Alligator mississippiensis: one gene and its partners. The protein of the gene in region 2 interacts with the protein of the main gene of each other region in a pairwise test. Links are inferred from orthologs where the notes say so. Each region holds a gene or a part of one and is shown on either strand. Other genes may lie near its edges.

Region 1 (6,997 bases), about 72 Mb from region 2:
CATTGCACTTAGCCAAGCCCGGGGCCTGCCTCCGCCAATTCTCAAGCCTCCGGACAAGAGACCCGCCACAGCTCCAGTCATGCCACCTGGGTGACCTCGGGCACATCACTTAGCTGCTCCGTGCCTCAGTTTCCACATTAGGGAGCAGGGTTAACAACACCGCCCTGGGGTGCCGTGAGCACCCCCACTGCATCCCCGGCCTCTGAAGCAGCTTCCGTGTTTAGACCTCAGCCTAGAAACCCACCGGGAAAGCGGCCCGCCGGTAAAAGCCGTGGCTCCCTAGATCGTCCCTGCTCCCCTGAGCCACAACGCTGCGAGCAGCACCATGCGAAAGCAATTTCCTTGCCGATGCCCCTTTAAAAAAGCCCCCGTCGGAGGCACGCGGAGCTGGGTTTTGCTGCATCTGGTATCCATGCATGGTGTACGTCAGTCGGGCGTCAGGGAAGGGGGCTGCGGGGGCCGGCAGCTGGGAGAGCGTGGGCCGGCCCGCCAGAAGGACAGGCTCCGTCGCAGGCAGCAAAACCAGCAGGGAAGGGAAGGAAGAGGCTGGTGCCAGATCGGTGGCTACAGAAACCAATGCAGGGAGCTCTCTTCATTACATTTGTGCCTGCTCATGCCAGGGATCTGGAGGACCCCCCCCACCCCCCTCGGCTGGGTCTTTATAGCATGGGGGCACGGGCTTCAGACCCCCAGAGCCATCTCCTGCTGCAAAGGCCAGCCCGGGAGAGCCTATCCGACACTCAGAGAGAACAGGCCTGCACACAAGACGCTGGGAAAGCAGGCTTCTGTGTTGTATCCGGGATGAATCAGGTCCCCAGAAATGCAAACCCTTCCTCCTCCCTCATTACACCCAGCCTGCGTCCACCCGAAAGGAGGTTGCAGAATGGGCCGCTCCTGGGATCCAGGAGGTCTGGGCTGCATCCCCAGCGCTGCCACTCACTTGCTGGGTGACCTCAAGCCCGTCACTTAGCTAATCTGGGCCTCAGTTTGCCTGGCTGTAGCCTGCAGGAGGTACCAACCCATTTTATAAAGCGTGTAGAGCGCCGATAGGAGCAGGGTGCCGTTGTTATAGGGCAGGAGATCAAGGAAGGGGGGTGATATGGGATCGGGGTGTCCTCATTAGACTCCTCTGTGCTATTATTACCCGCAAGGAGCTGCTTTCATCGCAAGCTACGGACCAACCCCCGCCACTCGCAGCTGCTTCTGGGGCGGAACAGCACAGCCGGCCGCAGGGCTCTGCTCACCGCCTCACCATTGTAACATGGCAGGCGCCCTCCCACACAGGCGTGGAGCCGTGGACAGGCACAGGGCGCTAAGGGTCGAGGCACGGGGCAGGCCAGGGCGACGCTGGAGCCGGCCCCTCCCCGATAATCCCAGGCCGGGTCAGCGCGGGGCAGGGAGTGCAGCTGGCCCCGAGCGGCTCTGCCAGAGATGGAGCAGAAAGCAGCTCTGCACCCCCATCCCTGGCACCTGCCAGGATCAAGCCCCAGGCACTTCCATTTCCTTGACCTCCTGTCCTATAACAACGCCACCCTGCTCCTTTTGGCGCTCTAAACGCTTTATAAAATGGGTTGGCACCTCCTGCAGGCTACAGCCAGGCGAACTGAGGCCCAAATGAGCTAAGTGATGGGCTTGAGGTCACCCAGTGAGTGGGGGGCAGCACCGGGAACGAAGCCCGGGTCTCCTTGCTCCCAGGAGCGGCCAGTTCTGCAGCCTCCTTCCGGGTGGGTGGAGAATGGGTGTAATTAGGGACGAGGAAGGATTTGCATTTCTGGGGGCCCGATTCCTGCCGGATCATCAGGACTCGCGATGTTACCTCGGGCCCAGCTGGCCCGGACTGAGCGGGATGTGTGGGGCACCGGAGCCGCCGGAAGGGGACTCCCAGCCAGCCCCGGGGGTTTGGGCACCGCGGAGGGGATAGGGAACAGCAAAGGTGACGGTCATGAACGGGCCCCCACAGCTGCCCTGGCACCGAATAGCTCCAGCCTGAGCCTGCGAAGCCCCCCATGTGCCCCAGCACAGCCTGGGGGGCCTGGGCCCTGGCCGGGTGCGGGAGGGGGCAGAACAGAGGGGGTGATGCCTGGGGGGCAGCTATGGCTCAGCTGGGGGGGTTATTTACTGCAGATCGGGGGGGAGGGGGGGGTCACTACCGAGGGGCGGCTATGGCCAGGCTGGAGTCTCTACCCTGCAGGGGGGCTATTGCAATACTGGGGGGTCTCTGCCCCAGGGGGAATATTGCAGAGCTGGGGGGGGTTGCTGCCTGGGGGGCAGGATGGCAGAATTGGGGCAGGGGTATTGCTGTCCACGGGGGCTATTGCAGATGGGGGGGGTGTTAAAGGTGGGGGAGAGGGCTCGGGGCTGTGGAAGCTATTGCGGGGGCAGTTGCTACATGAAGCTACTGCAGAGCTGGGGGGGGCTGCCCTGGGGGGGCACTGCAAATCCTTGTGGGGGGGTCACTACTCAGAGCCGGGGAGGGGGGCTACTGTGGGGGCTACGGTAGAGCTGGGGGTGCTGCCAGGGTGGGCAGCGACATTGCTGCGGGGGGGCTACTGCGGAGGGGGGGGGCTACTATTGCAGAGCTGGGGGGTCTATTGCAGAACAGCGGGGCTCTGCAGAGCCCGGGAGGGGTGCTGCAACCCTGGGGGAGGTGCGGCTGCGGGAGGGGGCTAGTGCAGGGGGCGTGCTGCAAAACAGCGGGGCTTTGCAAAGGTGGGGGGGTATTGCAACCCAAAAGGGTCTATTGCAAAACAGCGGGGCTTTGCGGGGGGGGCACTCACCAGCTCGAGCCGCAGCGCCGCGATCTTGCCGGACAGCCCCGCGCCCTCCCCCGCCCCGGCCGGCCCCGGCCCCGGCCCCGGCCCCGGGGGCAGCGGCAGCAGCGGGTCCCCGCGCAGCCACCGCGCCAGCCCCGCGGGCGTCCCGCGCCCCGCCTTGCCCTCCAGCTCGCGCAGCTCGGCGGGCAGCGCCGCGCCCGGCTCCATCCCGCCCGGGCCGGCCTCGAACCCGCGGCCCCCCGCCGCCGTAAGGCTCCGTGTGCGCCCGCCGCCCGCGCCGTATTCCCCCGAGCGGCGCGCGCGCACAAACGCGGCGCGCGCCCTCGCCCGCGCCCTCCCCCGCGCCCGGCGCCCCCTCCCCTCCCCTCGCCGCTCCCTCTCCCTGCCACCGCCCTCCTGCGCCGCCTCGGGCATGTCTCCGCTCTGCGGGGAAGCCGAGCCCGCGGCTGCCAGGGCCCGGGAGCCGGTGGTTGCGGGGGGCCGCGCCCTGCCCAGGCGGCTCCCAGAAACCCAGACTTAATGCCCACATCTGAACTCGGAGCTGCACCTGCTGCCCCTCTCCCCGCCGCAGCCGGGCTCCCCGCTTCAGAGAAGGCGTCCCACAGAGACCAGCCCCGGCCCCCCCCCGAGTGTCTCCTGGCTGGGATGGGGGCTTTCGCCAGGCCCACAGCACGGCGGCGCTGACAGCTGGCAAAGGAAGCAGGTGTGCAAGTGCTGGAAGGAGCTGGCTGAGGGCTGCGAAGCTGTCCCGTGCCTCAGTTTCCCCACTCTGTGCAGTAACAGCCTTGGGACGATTGCCGTGCACGGCTTGTAGGGACGGGCTGCCCCCTCCGTGCAAGGCCTGCTGAGACCCTGGAAACAGCTGAGCAAGTGCCAAGGGGATCCCCGGGGTGTCAGGGCCCAGTGGACTAAGGCCATGGGAGCAGGAGTGCTGCTGCCGGCACGCGGCCGAGGGCCATAATTGACACCCCCGCCTTCTCCCGACCAAGGGTGATTCATTAGCCATTTCCGTTTGGAGGCTTCGTTAGCCAGCTGCGCCACCGTGTGTAAGGCACGGCCTGCCCAGCCCCGCTCCCGCTGGTCCATCGGGCTGCCAGTCCTCTGCAGCGAGAGAAGTGCTCGTTTGGAGACGCTCCCTTATGGAGGAGACCACGGAGGTCGGGCATTGGGAGAAGGCCCCTCCATTCGGTGAATTAACGAGAGACAGACCAAGGGTCTGCAGAGGTTGAGTGCTGCTCCGCCATAAAGGACACTGTTAGTTCTTCTCAGTCCCCTGTGCCCGTGTCTACCGAACCCGGTGATCACTGTGTGCTCAGAGGCAGGGACCGAGCTGGTTGCACGTCTGTACAGGACCTAGCACAGACAGGGTCTGGATCTGGGTTTGAGCCCCCAGGGCCTGCTGGGATAAAAATGGATAAAGAACCGTGCAGGAGTCCTTCACGCAGTTGAGAGAGATGGGCATTTCTTGCTTTCCAGGACCATCCCTTTCTCCACCTCCGTGGGGTCTCCATGGCCTGGTTACACCTGACCGTGTATAATAGTATTTGCATAAGTCCCTAATCATTTGCACGGCCGGAGCATGCGGAGAAGCGGGTCGGAGGCACCGCAACGGCTCACCCACACTAAAAACAGGATCGTCTCTCGCATGAGCTGAAGGAAGAGCTCCTGCAGCACTTGTAGACTCTTACCTTTGTACCAGGGCCACATGTGGGGGATGCTCACACTCTCCGGGGCATTGAGGCTCCAGTGTCAGTTCAGGTGGGGAAACTGAGGCACGGAGCTCATGAGGTGTTTTGCTGTGGAGCGAGCAGGCCTGAAGGACAGGAGCTGGGCAAGGATGGGGGCAGCATGTGTTGTGGCCTGGCATGTGTGCACACCAGTGCATACATGTGTGCATATGTGTGTGCTTAGGCATGAGGACGTGCTGAACCCCCTGCCACCACCGCGGGGCACTTCCAGTCTTGCTGCACAGCAGAGGTGGGCTCTTGCACCGTTCTCTGCCCATTTCACAGATGGGGTGACTGAGGCATGGAGCTATAAACCACCAGGCACTTTGCTCTGAAAAGCCAATCGCTCCTCTGGTCTCTGTGGACAGCGCGACCTTAAGTGTCATGCCCAAGGCCATGCAGTGGGTCAGTGGCAAAGGGAAGAGGCCTGTGTTATTCTGTGTAGTAGGGCAGTGCCTGGTGACACAGAAGTGGCCTGTCCCCACTGCACAGACTGGAGAAACTGAGGCAGGAGAGGTATGTTTGGCATGCCTAAGGTCCTGCGGGCAGTCAGTAGCTGTCAGAGACACCTCTGTGGACCACAGCCCAGGCATCCGAGTCCCCGGTCCCTTCTCCTGGGCCTCTTTCCTGACCCCGATGCCCGCGAGGAGGCACCAGGACTCACGGGGCCACACTGAGGACATGACGGGACCCGAGGGCCTGGCTGCCCCTCGCAGAGACCCCCACCTCCAGCCGTGCCAGCTGGCTGCTGATCTCCCCCTGGGGAGGCAGGCGTGGAGGGAGGAGATGCAGCCCTTGACACTGCGGGGGGAAAGGAGGATGGGGGATTTGAGGGGCTCGTAGGCTGTGCCTGGTCCACTCCAGGAGAGGCTAACAGCCTCCTACTGCTGCCACCAGGCAATGGAGCAGTTCCCTTCGCACAAGGGCCAGGTGCGAGCTGCTGAGATCCGGGCAGCGGATGTTGTCCAGGGAGAGCAGGGCTCTGCCACTGCTTGCCTGTGCGACCCTGGCCCTGTCACTTAGTGCCCATGTCCTGTCTACAAAGGAGGGCCGAGCGCTCTGCCTGCTCCATCCAGGTGCCAGTGCCTGCTGACTGCAGCATGGTGCAGTGGTAGGGGACAGCATCCTAGGGGCAAGGAGAAGGTTGGTCCCTTCCCCCAGCCACGAGCCAAGACCCCAAACCCAAGCCTGTTGCAAGTGGGACATCCGGCTGGGCCCAGTCAGCCCAGGGGCGGTGGCGCACTGCCCCCTTGTGGAGGAGCGACGCTGTCTTCGCCCAAATCTATGGGCCATGCATCCCTGGGTCTCCCGTCTGGGGGCAACGGGGTCAGCCCGGAGCGGTGATGCAGGGTAGAGGGAAAGGGCCTGGCCTTGCTGGCAGCAGCCCAGGAACTGATGGGGTCCCAGGGGATGAAGGCAGGCTGCCCCCGATCCCCTGCAAGATGGGCGGAGGGTGGGCACTCCCCGCAGGCCAGCTTGAATGGGGGAGGCATGAGAGGGGCTGGCACCCCCAGCCCTGTGCAGCCGCTCCGAGCAGACCCTCTGAAGTCAGGACCAACTTCTACCAGCCTTTGTATACGTGTGTGTGTATGTATGTGTGTATATATGTCCGTGTCCGTGATATATATGTGTGTACATGTATAGACATGTGTATATAGATATGCGCATATATGTGTCTATATGCAGGTATACGCATGCGTGTATACATGTGTATGTGTGTATATACGTGTGTGTGTGTGTGTGTGGTATGTGTCAGGGATATATTTGGTAGCTGTGTTGGTCTGAGACAAAAAAAGAAATGACAACTCTAGAACTCTTGGCTCAGAGATGATACCTTTTATTAGACCAACCGAGAAATTGCAAAATATATCATTTTTTCCTTCAAGCTTTTGGGCTTGCACACCCTTCCTCAGGCTCAGGGAAAGTTAAAGATGGTAAAAAGTCCCATAGGTAGGAAATAAATTTCATTTTTGCACCGAGGAAGCTGAGAAGTATGTGTGCGTGTATAAATTGTGTGTAGTATGTATGTGTGTATATACTGGATCACAGGAAAGCAGGGCTGGCAGGGGACTCAGGAGGTTACGTCCCGTCCAGCCCCCGGCTCAAGGCAGGAGCACCCTTCCCTAACCCATCCCAGCCATGTGTCTGTCCAACCCGCTCTTGAAAACTTCGCGGGCTGGAGATTCCCCACCTCTCGGTGCCTGTTTCCAATGCCTGACCCCCCTCAGCACCAGACAGTTCCTCCTCATCTCCAGCCTCAGTTCCCCTCCTGCAGCTTGAGACTGTTGCTCCCAGTCCTGCCGCAACAGCCACAGAGAAAAGCCCATCTCCATCCTCCCTGCCATCGCCCTTCAGGGATTTCAAGACTGTTATCAAATCCCACCTCAGTCTTCTCTTCTGCAGGCTCAGTCCCCCAGTTCTCCCAGCTGCTCCTCCTCGCTCTCGTCCCCCAGGTCCGTCTGCACTGGACTCTTTCCAACCTGTCCTGATCCTTCC
Region 2 (6,935 bases):
CCATGCTGCTGGGGCTTGCCCCTCCACCGTAGGCCTGGCTCCCACTCTTCTTGGGCTTTCTGCTGCTCTATACTCTGGCACTGATAGGGAATGGGCTTCTAGTGGGGCTGAGCTGGTTTGATCCCTACCTGGGCTCTCCCATGTATGTCTTTCTGAGGAACTTCTCAGTGCTGGACACGTGCTATGCCTTTGTCACACTGTCTCAGCTGCTAGCTGGCCTGCTGAAGGGCCACCGGGTCATTGCACTCATGGCCTGTGCCACCCAGACCTGCATCTTCCTCTCACTTGTTATTCCCCTGTGCTTGCTGCTGGCCATCATGGCCTATGACTGCTACTTGGCTGTGTGTCACCCACTACATTACATGACCCTCATGAGCCCTGGGTAGTGCTGGGGGCCGGCAGGCACAGCCTGGGTTGATGGTTTCTTCCTCTCTGGGGTAGACACTGCTGTGGCTTTCCACCTGCCCTACTGTGAACATGCCCACATCAACTACTTCTTCTGTGAGGTGACAGCTGTGCTGGAACTGGCATGTGCTGGCGCCTCAGCTGCCCAGGCTGTGGTAATGGTAGTGGGTGTGCTGGTCCTCTTGGCTCCTCTCGCTTTCATCCTGGCCTCCTATGTCCTCATTGTGTGGATGGTGATATATATACGTTCCAGCCAGGGCTGCCGCTGGGCCTTCTCCACTTGTCTCCCACCTCACTGTGGTGACCATCTTCTATGGGGCTGCCATCTATACCTACATGAGGCCCTGCCTCAGCCTCTGGCCTATCCTGGACAAAGTTGTGTCCATCTTCTACACAGCAGTCACCCAGCACTGAACCCTCTCATATATAGCCTCCGCAACAAGGAGGTGAAGGGAGCTCTGGCCAGGGCTGCCCAGCGTGGCTCCACCTCATGCCTCTGAGCTGGCAGGGCACCCCTGCAGATAGTCCTCCACTGGCAGCATTCCTCCATCTGTGGGGACACTGGATCCTCAGAAGAAAGATGTCAGCTTCTGGCATAGGTCAATCTATGATTTTGAAAGAGGGGGTGTGGTAGATGCAACTGGTGCCACAGGGGCAGCTGCCAGGACCCCTCCCTCCCAGCATCTCCCCTGATCTTGATTCGTGCCATGGCTGCTTTTGTCTTGAGCTGTTCCACAAGGGGCTGCATGTGTTCAGATTTGGAAGACATGAAGGTGGCTCCGCTTGTTATGCAAATCGACTTTTTGCCTATTGTTTTTAATCTTATGTATTTTGTTGAGTTTTGTATTGCCTTAAGAAACTCCATTTTGTATTGCTCTGTAGCTTGACACAAGTGCTCGACCTTTTACGCTTTTGTATGCTGTATGGATGAGTGTGTGTTTGTGGAAAAGGAAAACATTGGCTGGTGACTGGCTGAAGAATGCAGACAGATAAAAGACCAAAACAAGAAGAATTTGCCCCGGAACAGTGAGAGAACAATGAAATTGACCTTCAAGGAAGAACACAGCAAAAGCCCAGAGGACAGGGTGAATTGACAAGGCTATAAAAGATGGGGCGAGACATATCGATTTTGGGTCTTGTTCTGCACGTCATCCTAGAGCATTGGTTTGTCTGACAAGATGGACCAGCAGGAGCCCAGCGCCTACTCATAATCAACTTGGCTAGCCACTAAGCTGATCCAAGTACTGATAAGACTGGTAATGTATACCACTGCAAAACAGAAATTGGGGGTATGAATGTGATGTGTGTGTGTGTATTAAGTGCTTAATCAATAAATGTGGCATCTTGCCTTATCCTCCCTCATAAGGTCTTGCTTGTGATTTGAGCAATTGTCAATTTGTGTAACACGCTTTCCTGTGCCCCCAGATGCAAGGGTCCACCAGGGTACCCCCTTTCTCCACCTGCTCCCTGCCACTGCTACTGTCTCCAACCAAGGTGGGCACCCCACATAGCTGCTTCCCATCACCTGTGGCTGGGGCAGGGCAGAACCAGCCTTGGGGCTCCCCCCACTCTTGGGTCAGCTGGGGAGAGTGGCCATAAAAGGTGGGTGCCTCCTTTCTGTGCTTGCTCCCTGTTTGCTCCCCCTGGGTGTCCATCAGGAGCACAGGGCTCTAGCCATGCCTTACACTCCCTCACCTGCCATGGTCTGAGACCAGTTCCTGCTCTCTGGATTCCAAGGGGTACCCAGGTGTCTGTGTGGGAAGTGGAGCCACCAGCGTGTCATCTAGAGAGCGCACTACTCTGCATCATGGAAAGGGGGTGCAACTACACTACTGCACTCCCCCTGGATCCACCCCTCACTTCTGGGTGAGGAAGACCAGGCTGTGGTCTACCTTCAGCTGACCAGTACTGTTCCAGCCTTGCCAGCAAGGGGTATTTAAAAATGACAAGATTAGATTAAAATAATTGTAATATAATAAAGAGTTTAGACTGTCTTTCTGTAACACTTTTGGGCAACTGTGCGTACGCCGCCCAGAGGGCTGGCGGGGACTCCTCCTCAGGCAGGGAGGCAGGAGCCCCTCTGCTCTGTGGAAGGAGGCGGAGGCGGGCAGGGAGTTTATATGCTAGCAATATATATATACTAACTATACTTGCCCATCCCATGGTAATCCTAATCATAATCCTAATGCAATCTAACTCTGATCCCATCCTACTGTATCTATAATAATCAGAATGCCACTCTATTGTAATGCTGCTCTTCCTTTCTCGTACACTGTTGTAATATTAAATACATTCTAGGCAATTTCATTTCATCCTATCCTATAATCCTTGTTATGATAATCTGAATTTCATCCTACCCTAATCCCAACTGTAATTTAATTCTAATCCTTATTGTAGTCTTATACTTTTCTAGCCTACTTTATCCTCACTCAAAATTATTTCTATAGAGTAATTGTCAACCCAGTTCCTTGTATCCCACCCTAATAGCTCCAATTTTCAGTTAAAAAAGACATAACCCTAAAGCCACATTTTTCCCCGTGATTTAAATGAAATGCTGCTAATATAGAGATATATGTATACTAGCATTTCATTTTAATCACAGGAAAAAGTGGATTTGGGGTTTTTTGGGTTTTTTTTAAACCAAAAATTGGGAAGTTTTTTAAATCGGAGAAAACCAGGATTCCCCCTTCTCAGGCGGGTCCCTGCAGGGAGCCTGAACTGGCGTCAGTAATGTGGGAGGCAACATAGGTGACTTCAGCCCCAAGCCCACCCCATCTGTTTCTTCCCCCCGGCTCCGTGCAGGGGCGGGGGCACGACGCCGCCGAGGGACTCAGTTCCTGCACAGGCTGCGGTCAGAGTCCGGGTGGAAGGGCCGGGCCGGGCCGGGCCGGGCCGGGCCGCAGGAGGCGCTTTGGGTCCCTGGGTCGGGCGTGGCTTCACGCCGGCACGGGGAACACGGACGCTGCCTCTGGGAGGCTGCACCACTGCTTCTCAACCAGGTTTAGTAGCACTGCTCGCCGGGAGGGAAGAGACAAACCCGCACCCCCGGCGGACATGGGAAGTCCCGGGCTGCAGCTGGAGCTCAGCGCCGAGACCCGAAGAGACCGCACAGTCTAGGAGGCGCCGCGCACACTAACACAGGCGCGGGGCGGGGCCGCGCCAGCCTGGGGGAGGGGCACCGGCGAGGAGCGCGGGGGCCGGGCTCCTAGCCCCACCCAGACCCCCGCCCTCCACGCTCCTACCTCACCCTCTTAGCTCCGCCCCCTTCGCGTGGCTAGGGAGGGGCAACAGAGGGGAGGACGAGAGCGCGGGGCGGGGCCTGAGGAGGGCTCCGCGGGAGGGGGCGGGTCCCGGCTCCGATTCGCTGGCAGGGAGGGGGCGGGCCCTCAAGACAGCCCCGGTCCCGCCCCCCTCAGGTCCCACAGCAAGCGGAGTACGAACCCCGATTGGCCGTTTGGAAAACCCGCTCGCTGGCTCCCGCAGCCCAGCTCTCGCGATGTTCTACGGCGCGGGATTCTCGGCCCAGCTCTCGAGAAAACGGAATTCTCGCCCTGCAGCAGAGTGATGGGAGCGGCGAGGTGAGACCCGGAAACGACCTGGGCTGGCCAGTTCCGTCCCGGCCCCGTGCAGAACCACCTCCTTCGGGCTCGCGCAGGCGGGGCGGGGCGGGGCCGGGCGGGGGCCCCCCCCCCGGCTGTGCGGTTGCGCATGCGCGGGGCTGTGTGCGGCTGGGGGTCCCGCTAGGCCGGGGGGCGGGGCCGGGCGGGGCCGGTCTCGTCTCGTCTCGTCTCGTCTCGTCTCACGGCTTCGGTGTCGCCCGCTGCAGATGCCCCGTCACTGCTCTGCTGCTGGCTGCTGCACCCGCGACACCCGCGAGACCCGCGGCCGAGGCATCTCCTTCCACCGGTGAGTCCGTCCCGGGTCTGGCGCCCTGCCTCCACCCCGGCCTGTGCGGCGCTGCCTCTGTTCCCGAGCCTGTGCAGGCCCTGCTTCCCATTCACCTGGAGGTCATCCCCCACCCCGTGTACCTCCGCCCTGCGGAGCGTGTTGTGAGGCGCCTGCCTCGGCACAGCCCCGGGCCCTCCCCACTGCGCCCCCTCGCTGGGCTCTGGAGCATGTTGAACCCATCCTCTCTGTGCAGCTCCTCACTGCCAGCTGAGCACGCTCCTGCACGTCTGGCCCCAGCACCAGGTGGCAGGGCTGAGGGTCCCTGTGAGCTAGCCTGCCTTCTACCCCAATCCCATGAGCCAGTGGGGACTAAAGTTGGGGACTTTTACACCTTCATCTGCTGCACTTCATTGATTTTGTTGTTACTTGCCCTTTCTGTGAACAGAGGGAAGCCCTGGCATGTGGCAGGCTGCAGACCTCCTCCTGTCATCACTCTGCACTTCTCCCTGCATCTCTAATTTTAGGCACTCCCTGTCCATGGCCCCACCAAGTCCTGGGATGTCCTGGTCAACCTCCTCCTGGCTCTGGCCACCTACAGGCCAGGAGGAGGTATTTGTGGGAGGAGACCCAGGCAACTGTTGGACTGCCTTCCTGTCATTCCTCCACACACATTTCTGGATAGAGTTTCATTGAGAGGCATCTGCTGGCTTCTGGGGTGTAGTGGAAGGGCAGTAGTTGCTAGCTGGTGTCCTCTACTTGGTGTCCTACCTTGGACCACTTGTTACCAACCTGTGACTTTCATTCCTGTCTTGTTTTCTCTCTTGTTGTCCAGTGTAATCTGTTAACATGCATTCTCCTTCCTCAACCAATGAAGTTCCTTGTTGTAGCAGTTAAGGCCCCCAGGTTGCCCTTTCTTGGAGTAACTCAGCAGTGCTGGCCTTATCTCTCGCAGGCTGCCCAAGAAGGATAACCCGAGGCGTGTCATGTGGCTGGAAAACTGTCGGCGCAAGGATCCCAGCGGTCAGGGTCTCTGGGATCCGACCTCCAAGTACATCTACTTCTGTTCCAAGCATTTTGAGAAGAGCTGCTTTGAGATGATGGGCATCAGGTGAGTGCAGGAAATCATGCCAACCCTGGATAACTCCAGTTTTGTGCCTCAGGGCAGAGTGGCAGTGAGAAGCTAGATCTAAACCAGCCTGGGCAAACAAGCTTTCTTGTGAGCACTTGTAATTCTGCGAGTAGCTGCCACTTTCTTTCATCTTGGGCTGGACTCCTCCACATGCCCCTGTCCTTCCCCTTGCCCCTTTCTAGATTTGTACACCTCTTTCCTCCACAAAAACAGATTGGTTTGCGTGGAACTTCCTGAGTTAGGAAGCATCTTCTGCTCCCAGTGGAAGTTCACTGAACTTCATGAATCTTTTGCCTGCTTCCCCTCCATTGAAAATGATTTGATTTACTCAGGCTGAAAACAGACATCACCTCTGTGCTGCTGTTAAATTTTTGATGGGGGCACAAAGCAAAAGCAAAAGCAAACCATGCTCTTTGTCATGCCACAAATGCCCAAATTTGTGGCCATGACAAAAAGCAGTATTAATTTTTGCTACTAGTTTGCGGTGGACTTCTGTTTGCTTTATGGCAGGAGAGCGTGGGCAGCCTGAAACTCCCAAGACTTTAGGGGCCTGATCCTGAGCATCTGGGGAATTCCCCTGCAGGGATATTTTTAGGGCATGCAGGATCATGCATCTTCAGCCCTGGGAATGCTTGACCATGTTGACCTGGGAGTGCTTGACCCCATTGCTGCATCCTGACTTGGGGCACACCTCTGCCAATGGGGGAACCCCAGGTAAGTGTTCCTAGAGCTTTAGGGGTCCCTGTTTGCAGTGGGGTGCCCTAGAAATCCCCCAGCACGGATTGTGCTGCTGCACCCTCAGGGCATGTCTCTATAAGTAGGGGAACCCCAAGGTTCCCCCACTTGCAGAGGTGCACTGCAAGTTGGTTCTCCTGTTTCAGTTGTCCCACAAGATCAGGCCCCAGGAGTAGCAGGGGCCTGACCTGGCTGGAAACAGGTGCTCAGTGAAGTGGACCAGTTGTTCTGGGAAACATCCTGGAACAGCTGATGCCACAACAAAAATGGCATCTATTTTTAGCTTCAGTTCTCTCTTAGTTCAGACACATCTCCTTCCTCCTCCTACAAAGATGGACGCGTCTATCTGGTTCTTCCCTCATCCCAGTAAAGATGGACTGGTCTGCTTGGTCCTTGTTCCCCCCAGTCAAGATGTATCTCCCTTCTCTCTGGACTCATTTAGTGACAAATGCTGAGAGAGCAGTCATCCTTTGGTACAACAGCCCTGTTAAACTACTGGTGAGATGCAAGAATGTTCCAGACCAGTGATTCTCAACCTTTTTTGAACTAAGACCCATTTGTAAACATTGATGGTCCAGCCCCCCAGCTGGTGAGGTTAGGGAGTGGGTTGTGGGGCATGGAGGCCCCCAAGCAGCCCCTTGCAGGCTGGAACTCTTATAGCCTGCAAGGGGAAAGCCACGGTTTCCCACATTTTTTCTCCTTTAAAGGAGAATCCATGTTTAAAGTTTGCTGATCCATTTTAAACATTTGTTCATGACCCTTTCATATAATTCTTGTG
Region 3 (7,416 bases), on a different chromosome or scaffold from region 2:
CTCAGCTAAGGGAGTTACTCTGTAGTTACTCTGTAGCGCTGGCTCCCCCGTGGACACGCTCTGCTCTCCACGGGAGCCAGGCCAGGGCCTCTATACAGGAAGGCTGAAGAACAGCAGGACTTACATTGAGGCGCACAGCCAGCTGGTTCATGGGTGGATACATGCTCAGTGCCAGCTCGTCCACACTACGGCAGAACAGAAAGAGCAGTCACTACAGGAGGGGGACCCCCTGGCAGTGCCAGCAAGCACACAGCCCAAGGTGACACCAGCCACCTACTGAATCGCCTCTGAGAGCAAACTGGTGCTGCCAGGTTCAGCATGGGTTCTGCCTGAACACACTCTCCCTTGCCTTGCAGCCAGGGCATCACTCCTGTTCCCCAGGCTACTTCCTTGGAGCTCTCTCCTGCCCAGCTAGGATGACACCTGTAGCCCATCTCAGAGGTCCAGGGTCAAATGCCCCTACTCCCACCACCAGCTCAGAAGGCAATGCAACCCTTGCGAAGATGCTGCTTCTAGCACAGCACCCAGCAAGCCACAATGAAAGGGAAGGGAGGATTCACCAGGGGCTGATCTCGTTGGCAATGTCTGCAAGGTCATCCAGCTGCGCGACATGTTCCGGTGTGTCTGCTTTGCCGTGAGCCTTCACTGCACCCAAGACCTTCTTCAGGCAGGCTTTGGAGGCCTTCATCAGCCCCATGCAGGGGCTGAGCAGCTTCCGGTCTGCCTCGGACCAGTAGGTATCCCGATTGCCTCGAGAACCCAGCTCCTCATCCTCCATGATGTCCCCGTAGGGGTCACCTCCTTCAACCTGAGCCTGAGGACACAAGCACGTCGGGATTCTGGAACCCACCATCTGCCCCAGGCATGACGAGCAATCCCCAGCACACCCAAGCTTCCCTCAGGATCCCCCAGCTCCCAGGTGTCCAAGGCCATTGCTGAGAAGGCTTCTCTGTAGGAGACTGATATAGAAGTTAGACCCTCCCCTCAAGGCTACCGAATGCCAAGAGCTTGCTGGGAAATCTGATGTCTTTTATTAGGCCAACTATTTAATTACTTAATTTAATAAAACATATTGCATTCACCCAAAGAACCATGTCCAGCTATGTCCTTAAACCATCAGGGCTACAGCCAACACGCCTAAAACAAGAGCCTGCCGGAACACCCCTCTCCCCACCAGCAAACAGCCCCTCAGGGAGAAGCCAGGGACGCGAGTTGCAGCAGCCCCATATCGAGCTAGAAACTGAACACTTCACAGGCGCCCCCGCCGTGTGGGGCTGAACATCTCGGTCTGAGTCGAAACCAAAACACAGAAACCAACTGGACCGCTGTCCGGGGCAAACTCATTGCCTGCTGTCACAGCAGCACTACTGCAAAGCCCAGAGCTGACAGCTGTCTGTAGAGGGAAGTAAGGGCCTCTTACCTGCTCCATCTCCTTCAGGGCATCCTTGACCACTTCCAGATACGTGGCCACAACTGACAGGACGGCTGCCTGGTTATCTGCACGCAGAGGCCAGAGGGAGGTGAGTGGGCCGGGGGCTGTGCAGACCCCGCCGCCTCCCCGGCTCGCACCACGCTCCCCCGCCTCCCTGCAGTCGCTCAGAGCTGCGGCGTCCCCGCATCAGGCGACTCGGCTCGTGCGGCAGGGGCTGGCCTCCGAGGAGCCACCGGCTCCGCTCCGTCTCAGGGCTACCAGGGCCAGTGCTGCTGCGAGCAGAGCTCTCGCTACCTGCAGCGACGCCACCTACCTCGCGGCAGGCTGGACACCTGCTCGCACGCCTCCCACACGCCGCCAGTCGATACGAGCTGCTCCCGAGACAAACTGAAGCGGAGAAAGAAAATCCCTCGAGGCCCTGGGCCCATCGCCGCTGAGAGGACTGAGCAGCACCCGGCAGCCGCCTCAAGCTGCGAGCCTGACCAAGCCACGCAGACCCCCGCCCCCGCCCCACGACGCCCAGCCCCAGGCTCCCAGCCGGCCCTGGGGGCGCCCGGACCGCACGCATGCACGCACGAAGCCGCTGCTCTCCCGTGGCCGCGACCCGCCGCGAGGCCGGTCGAGCTGGGGCGGGGCAGGGCCAGCGTTACCTCTGCAGAGCGCTGCTCAGGATCACGTCTGTGAGCTGGATCGTGCCCTCCACCACCTCGGCGGTGGCGTCGCGCACCATCTTCCGGAGCGTGGTCCCTGGGAGAGGTTTAGAAGGAAGAGGCTGATGGCCGGGACGCGGGGGCCGCTCTGCACGGCCCCTTCTGCCCCCGCCAGCACCCTCCCTCCCGGCTCCTCCTGGGGGCAGGGGTGCGGCCGCCTCACCTCGGTCCTTGGGCAGCCCGTGGTAGGCCGCGGCGGCCGCCAGCACGGCATCCCGCACACCGTCGCACAGCTTCTCGCGGTCCTGCGGGGGGGCGAGGCGAGGCGAGGCGAGGGTGAAGGGGGCGCGGGGTGGCGGGGAGCCTAGGGTTGGGGCGGGGCGGGGCGGGGGGCGGCCGCGGAGCACCCACCTGGGCGCGCGGCGGCAGCGGCCCCGAGAAGGCCAGGCTCAGCTTCGTGGCCTCCCGCGACGTCGCCTGGAAGCTCCGGGCTGCGCAGCCCCCCGGCCGGGAGACGCGCGGTCACACACCGCCCCGCCCCCGCCCCACCCCCCCCCCCCGCGCTGCCCGCCCCCGCCCGCACCCTCCCGGTACCGAGCGCGGCCCAGAAGCGCGGCGGCTGGAAGGCGGGGCAGGCGCGGCGGGCGGGCGGCTCCCCCTCTGCAACGACACGGGCGGCAGCGGCTCAGCGCGGGACCGGGACCGGGACCGGGACCCCCGGCCGAGACCCCGCCCCGCCCCGCCCCGCCGCTCACCGCGGACACGCGCCAGCACCGCGCGCAGGGCCCCGCCGAGGCGCTGCAGCGGCTCCAGCTCCGGCTCCATCGAGCGCTGTCCCCCTAGTGCGCACACGCACTCCCCGCCGCCGCGCACGCGCAGACAGCGCTGAAGCCGCTGCCCTGACTGGCCCCACTGCCCGAACCTGGGGGAGGGCCCGGCAGCCGGGCGGAAGACGCCGCGTAGGGGCTGCTTCCGCCCTGCCCCGCGCCCACTTCCGGCGCTGCTCGGGTGATGGCAGGACCCCCGCCCCCCCGGGGCGGAGCAGGCACCTTGAGTGACTGGATAAAATTTATTGCGGTGAAAACGCGGACAGCGCGGGCGGGGCGGGGCGGGGCGGGGGCGGGGCGGTAAAGTGCGGCGGGCCGTGGCGCGGGCGCGGGCGCGGCCTAGAGCAGGCGGCCGAGCTCCTCGAAGTTGAGCAGGTTGTTGGCCGTGTCGGACCAGGCGGCGTGCGCGGCGCCGTCCATCTCGGGCGCCAGGCGGTTGGAGTCGTCCAGCGCGTGGTTGTGGCCGCCGATGACGGCCTGGCACTCGGGGCAGACGCCCTGCTCCATGGCCCCGCCGCACTCCCCGATCACGTACACGTGCCCGTTCCTGCACTTGAACCAGTGGCCGCGCGGGCAGCCGATGGCGCTGACGATCTGCACCCGCTCCTCCTCCGAGATGCCCAGCCCCGACGTGGGCAGCGCGGCCTTCAGCTCCTCCATCTTCACCCGCACCGCCGCCTCGTCCTCCGCCGTGAACCTCCCGGTGCGCTGCAGCAGCGTGCGCAGGGCGGCGACGTCCTGGGCCAGCGCGGCGCTGAGCCGCGTGCCGGCGGCGCTGCAGCGGGTCAGGAGGTTGGCCAGGTACGTCACCCGCTGCATCTCGCTCTGCAGGTCCGACAGCTCCTGGCTGCTGAAGCTGAGCCGCTGCTTGCTGAGCCACTCCTGCACCTCCGCCAGCCGCTTCCTCAGCACCTCCCGCTCGCTCGGGTCCAGCTTGCTCAGGGACCCGGTCAGGTCCGCCACGCGCTCGTAGAAGTTGATCAGGTTCTCCAGGAGCCCGACGCTCTTCGTGGAGAGGTTGGGCTGCTTCAGCCTGTCCTCCAGCCGGTCGTACTTGGTAGGCAGCACCCTCCGCAGAACGGCCTTCCCTTCCAGCGTGGCCTGCAGCCTGTGCCTGCTCGTTTCAATTTCACGCGCTGGGCCTTGGATTTTCTCCTTCACCTTCTCGATCTCCTCCAGCCGCTTTTTCACAATGGTGCCGTATCTCAAGTTCTTTCTAATTGGCGTCTGGCAGATGGGACACACCTTCAGCTTGACGGCACTTTCGTCTTCGTCCATGTAATAGTCGAGACCTTGGGACTCAAAGATGTGGCCGCAGTCTTCCAGCTGCACAAAGCAGGCTTCCGGATCCTCCTCAAAGCCAAAAAATATCTGAGTGACTTCATCGTGGTCACACACAAGGCACTTTTTGGGGCAGGGTTCCCCGCACAGCCCGATGCAGGGATGACCACAGCGCAGCTTCTTACTGCACCGTACATCACAGCGGGGCCTGTTGCATGGCTCTGAGCAAAGCTGCGTGCACTGGTAGTGCTGGCACCGCCACTCGCATGGCTCCATGCATGGGATACACATCTCCCCACATTTCTTTTTACACTGACTGTGGACGCAGTGGTTCTGACATGCTTGCTGGCAGGGAGGGCACTCCCCAGTGCAAGGTTGCTGACACTTGTGGGAGCAAACGAGGAAGCGCTTGCAGGGGTTCTTGCACTGCTCGTGAAATCGCCCTTCATAGCAGGTGTTGCAGGAGCCCGGGCAGACATGGCCACAGTCCAGCGTGGTCACACATTTCGTTTTACACTTCACAGGCATCCCATTTTCCATCTCTTCCGTGATCCAGCATTTCACCTGCTGGTCGTGGCCACATTTTAATGTGACCATCACCAGCTCAGGACACTGCGCAGTGCATTCCTGCCCACAGAGCTTGTTACATTTGTGCCCACATGTCAGATACTTCTGACAAGGCTCTTGACAAGAAAACTCACTTGCAGGGGTGGAGCAAGGAACCATCTGTGGGTGGCCGCATTTGGGGATAGTTTTCGGCACTTTCACCATGCATTCTTCACAGGGTTCAGAGCACAAATGGGGGCAACGGTGCCCATCTTTGCAGAGCACCTTCTGGCAGGGCTTCAGACACTGAAACTCCTTGTGCTGGATGTCATAGGGGTGACATGCCCGAGTGCAGACGTGTCCGCAACTCAGCCTGAACTCACAGGGGCGGCTGCAACCCCCTTCTGGAACTTGGCAGAAGTCTGCTGCTTTGGACACCAGGGTCCGAGTGTCAGGGTGGTTCTGGCAGCACAGTATCAGCGAGCGGCCGATCCGACCTTTCTCTCGGAGAGTGTGAATGATCTTGCTCCAGAGGGGGACCTTGCCGAGCATCCCCATGTTCCCAATGCAGTACAGCCCTTTCTTGGCTCTGGATAATGCCACGCAGATCCGGTTGGAAATCTGCAGGAATCCAGCTCTCTCTTCCCTGTTACTTCGCACAAGTGAAAGCAAGATAATGTCGTTCTCCTCACCCTGGTACTTATCCACCACGTGAACTTTCACACCTGCAAAGGTTTTGGCAGGCATGAGCCTGCGCAAACAGAAAAGCTGCCCAGTGTAGGTGGTGAGGATGGTGATCTGAGAGGGCAGGTAGTCCTGGCACAGGAAGTACTTGCATAGCTCCACCACGAATTTGGCCTCGTGTGGGTTCTGATGGCTTTTCCCTTCCTGGATTTCCTCTTCAGGGAAGTCATGCTCCACAAAGAAGAGGTTAGATGCAACCCCCTGAAATGAAAAGAGAGGGAAAGGTCACCAGAGAAAAGAAGAGTTCCTTCCAACATGGCAACCTTCCCTTTTGCATCTGTGGTTTCCTCCCTAAGACTTCAGGCATAGTTTACAGACACCGGGGCGGGGGGGAGGGTGTTGGGTGGTGCAGTGCGGCAGAGCATCACACACCTAAGGCAAAGCCTCTGTCAGACATTTTCACAACATAACTAGCAAGAAAGAAAGACTTTCAGGTTGCAAGCCATGCCTCAGAGTCCTGATAGGACAGCACTGACAACTCAGAAATGCTGCACTATTTGGAAGACCCAAGTTCTCTCATCACCTGCAATATTCTTCACATTATCTAGAAGGGATGGGTGCTGGTGGGTGTTTGCAAGCAGATGTTCCATACACTAAAGACAAGTTTTCCTTTGAGGGCAGGGGAATGGGTGGATGGACAGGCTTTATCACTTACAGATACACCCAGCAGCTTGGGTGGAATGCACACGTGCACTTTCCAGTGACGTGTCTGTGTGGTACTTGCAGTCCACATAAGTCTCATCTCAGGGTCTGTGGCACTTTGGTTCTGAAATCCAAATAAGCTCATTCATTTAGAGGTGCGTTCCTCCTCCTTTCGCCCAACTTTAGGGCCTGAGTATTTAAGGTCTTGTATTTTGTCTGAAGGAGGAAGGGATATCTGGCAGCCCTTTGCTTTTGTGCCAGCATAACTAGTTTGATGGAAAAGGGCAATACAGTGGATGCACTGGCTCATACTTTGGGCTGCACTTGTGGCATGCTTGTCACAAAGGTTGGCCACTACTGGCCTTCCCACACTGTTCCTTACCACTTTGTTCCACTGTTAGTCATCCTCACTGCTAAAAATATCTGGTCTAATTTAAAATTTGCCTCAGTTCAGCATTGACCTGTTGGTTCTCGTTTGTTTCTGCTACATTAAGGAATCCATGAGTGCCGGTATGTTCACCTCATGAAGTAAATACATAACAATCGAGTTGCTGATCTGTTTTCCAATAAGAAGATTAAGGTCCTAGGGTGCCTCGTTCTAGCAGTGTTTTTCGAGCCTCCAATCATCTATGCATCATTCTGCATCTTTCAGGTCTTTGTCATCTTTCTTAGAAGGTTGCCGTAAGAACTGGATGCAGCACCATAGTCTGTCTTGTTGCTGCCACATACAGTTGTCTCTTATAGCACCTAATTCCCAAGTCAGCTGTCATATTTTTTAAAACAGATGAATTTAATGAGTGAGGCTGAGGCACTTCAGTATAACCCCAAAAAGCAACCAGGTATGATGGAGCTAAACAGAGGGTTCCAGTTACCAGTAAAAGGTTTGAGACACACTGGTTAGCACCAGCTGTGAATGTACCTTGATGTTCTCATAGGTGAGGACCGAGGGGTGGTTCTCCAGCTCCTGGTATATGTGAGGAGTAAGGAGCTGGGCAATCTCAGGGCGCATGCGGTGCTGAAATACAAAGTTGTCAGGTCAGCACTGCCGGAGGAGCACAGCCAACTTCTCACGCTGGAGGGAACTGTGCCTCTCCCCTGCTAACCATCTCTGGCTTCACTGGGGAACAAAGAACACACACAAGGCAACCACCACGACACAGAAACCTGGATTCACAAGGCCACCCCCTGCTCTGTCAGCCATTCCAGTCCAGTCAGCAGAAAGGGATCAGAAGTGTCTTCACAAAGGCTGTTTGCAAGGACTGCAGTAAATACGTTTGGTCATTTCAACCCAGGT

What was found.
Region 1: the proteins of THAP7 (region 2) and LURAP1 interact in a two-hybrid assay, tested with the Homo sapiens proteins (2 studies listed by BioGRID and IntAct). The two-hybrid records come from large-scale screens. The link is inferred for Alligator mississippiensis from reciprocal best matches to the Homo sapiens genes THAP7 and LURAP1.
Region 3: the proteins of THAP7 (region 2) and CCNDBP1 interact in binary tests that used the Homo sapiens proteins (3 or more experiments, as listed by UniProt). The two-hybrid records come from large-scale screens. The link is inferred for Alligator mississippiensis from reciprocal best matches to the Homo sapiens genes THAP7 and CCNDBP1.

Annotation. Positions count from the first base shown.
Region 1 is NC_081828.1:3,376,111-3,383,107, reverse strand, and holds the start of LURAP1 (leucine rich adaptor protein 1), read right to left. Parts: upstream 3,047-6,997; 5' UTR 2,982-3,046; coding exon 2,778-2,981; intron 1-2,777. UniProt on the Homo sapiens protein: Acts as an activator of the canonical NF-kappa-B pathway and drive the production of pro-inflammatory cytokines. Promotes the antigen (Ag)-presenting and priming function of dendritic cells via the canonical NF-kappa-B pathway.
Region 2 is NC_081828.1:75,277,357-75,284,291, forward strand, and holds the start of THAP7 (THAP domain-containing protein 7), read left to right. Parts: upstream 1-3,899; 5' UTR 3,900-3,983; intron 3,984-4,231; coding exon 4,232-4,311; intron 4,312-5,245; coding exon 5,246-5,401; intron 5,402-6,935. UniProt on the Homo sapiens protein: Chromatin-associated, histone tail-binding protein that represses transcription via recruitment of HDAC3 and nuclear hormone receptor corepressors.
Region 3 is NC_081832.1:303,206-310,621, forward strand, and holds the start of CCNDBP1 (cyclin-D1-binding protein 1), read right to left. Parts: upstream 3,053-7,416; 5' UTR 2,908-3,052; coding exon 2,838-2,907; intron 2,743-2,837; coding exon 2,677-2,742; intron 2,574-2,676; coding exon 2,494-2,573; intron 2,388-2,493; coding exon 2,306-2,387; intron 2,180-2,305; coding exon 2,083-2,179; intron 1,820-2,082; coding exon 1,746-1,819; intron 1,498-1,745; coding exon 1,421-1,497; intron 815-1,420; coding exon 561-814; intron 186-560; coding exon 125-185; intron 1-124. Other genes in the region: ZNFX1 (NFX1-type zinc finger-containing protein 1), read right to left, coding at 3,249-5,681, 7,042-7,137. UniProt on the Homo sapiens protein: May negatively regulate cell cycle progression. May act at least in part via inhibition of the cyclin-D1/CDK4 complex, thereby preventing phosphorylation of RB1 and blocking E2F-dependent transcription.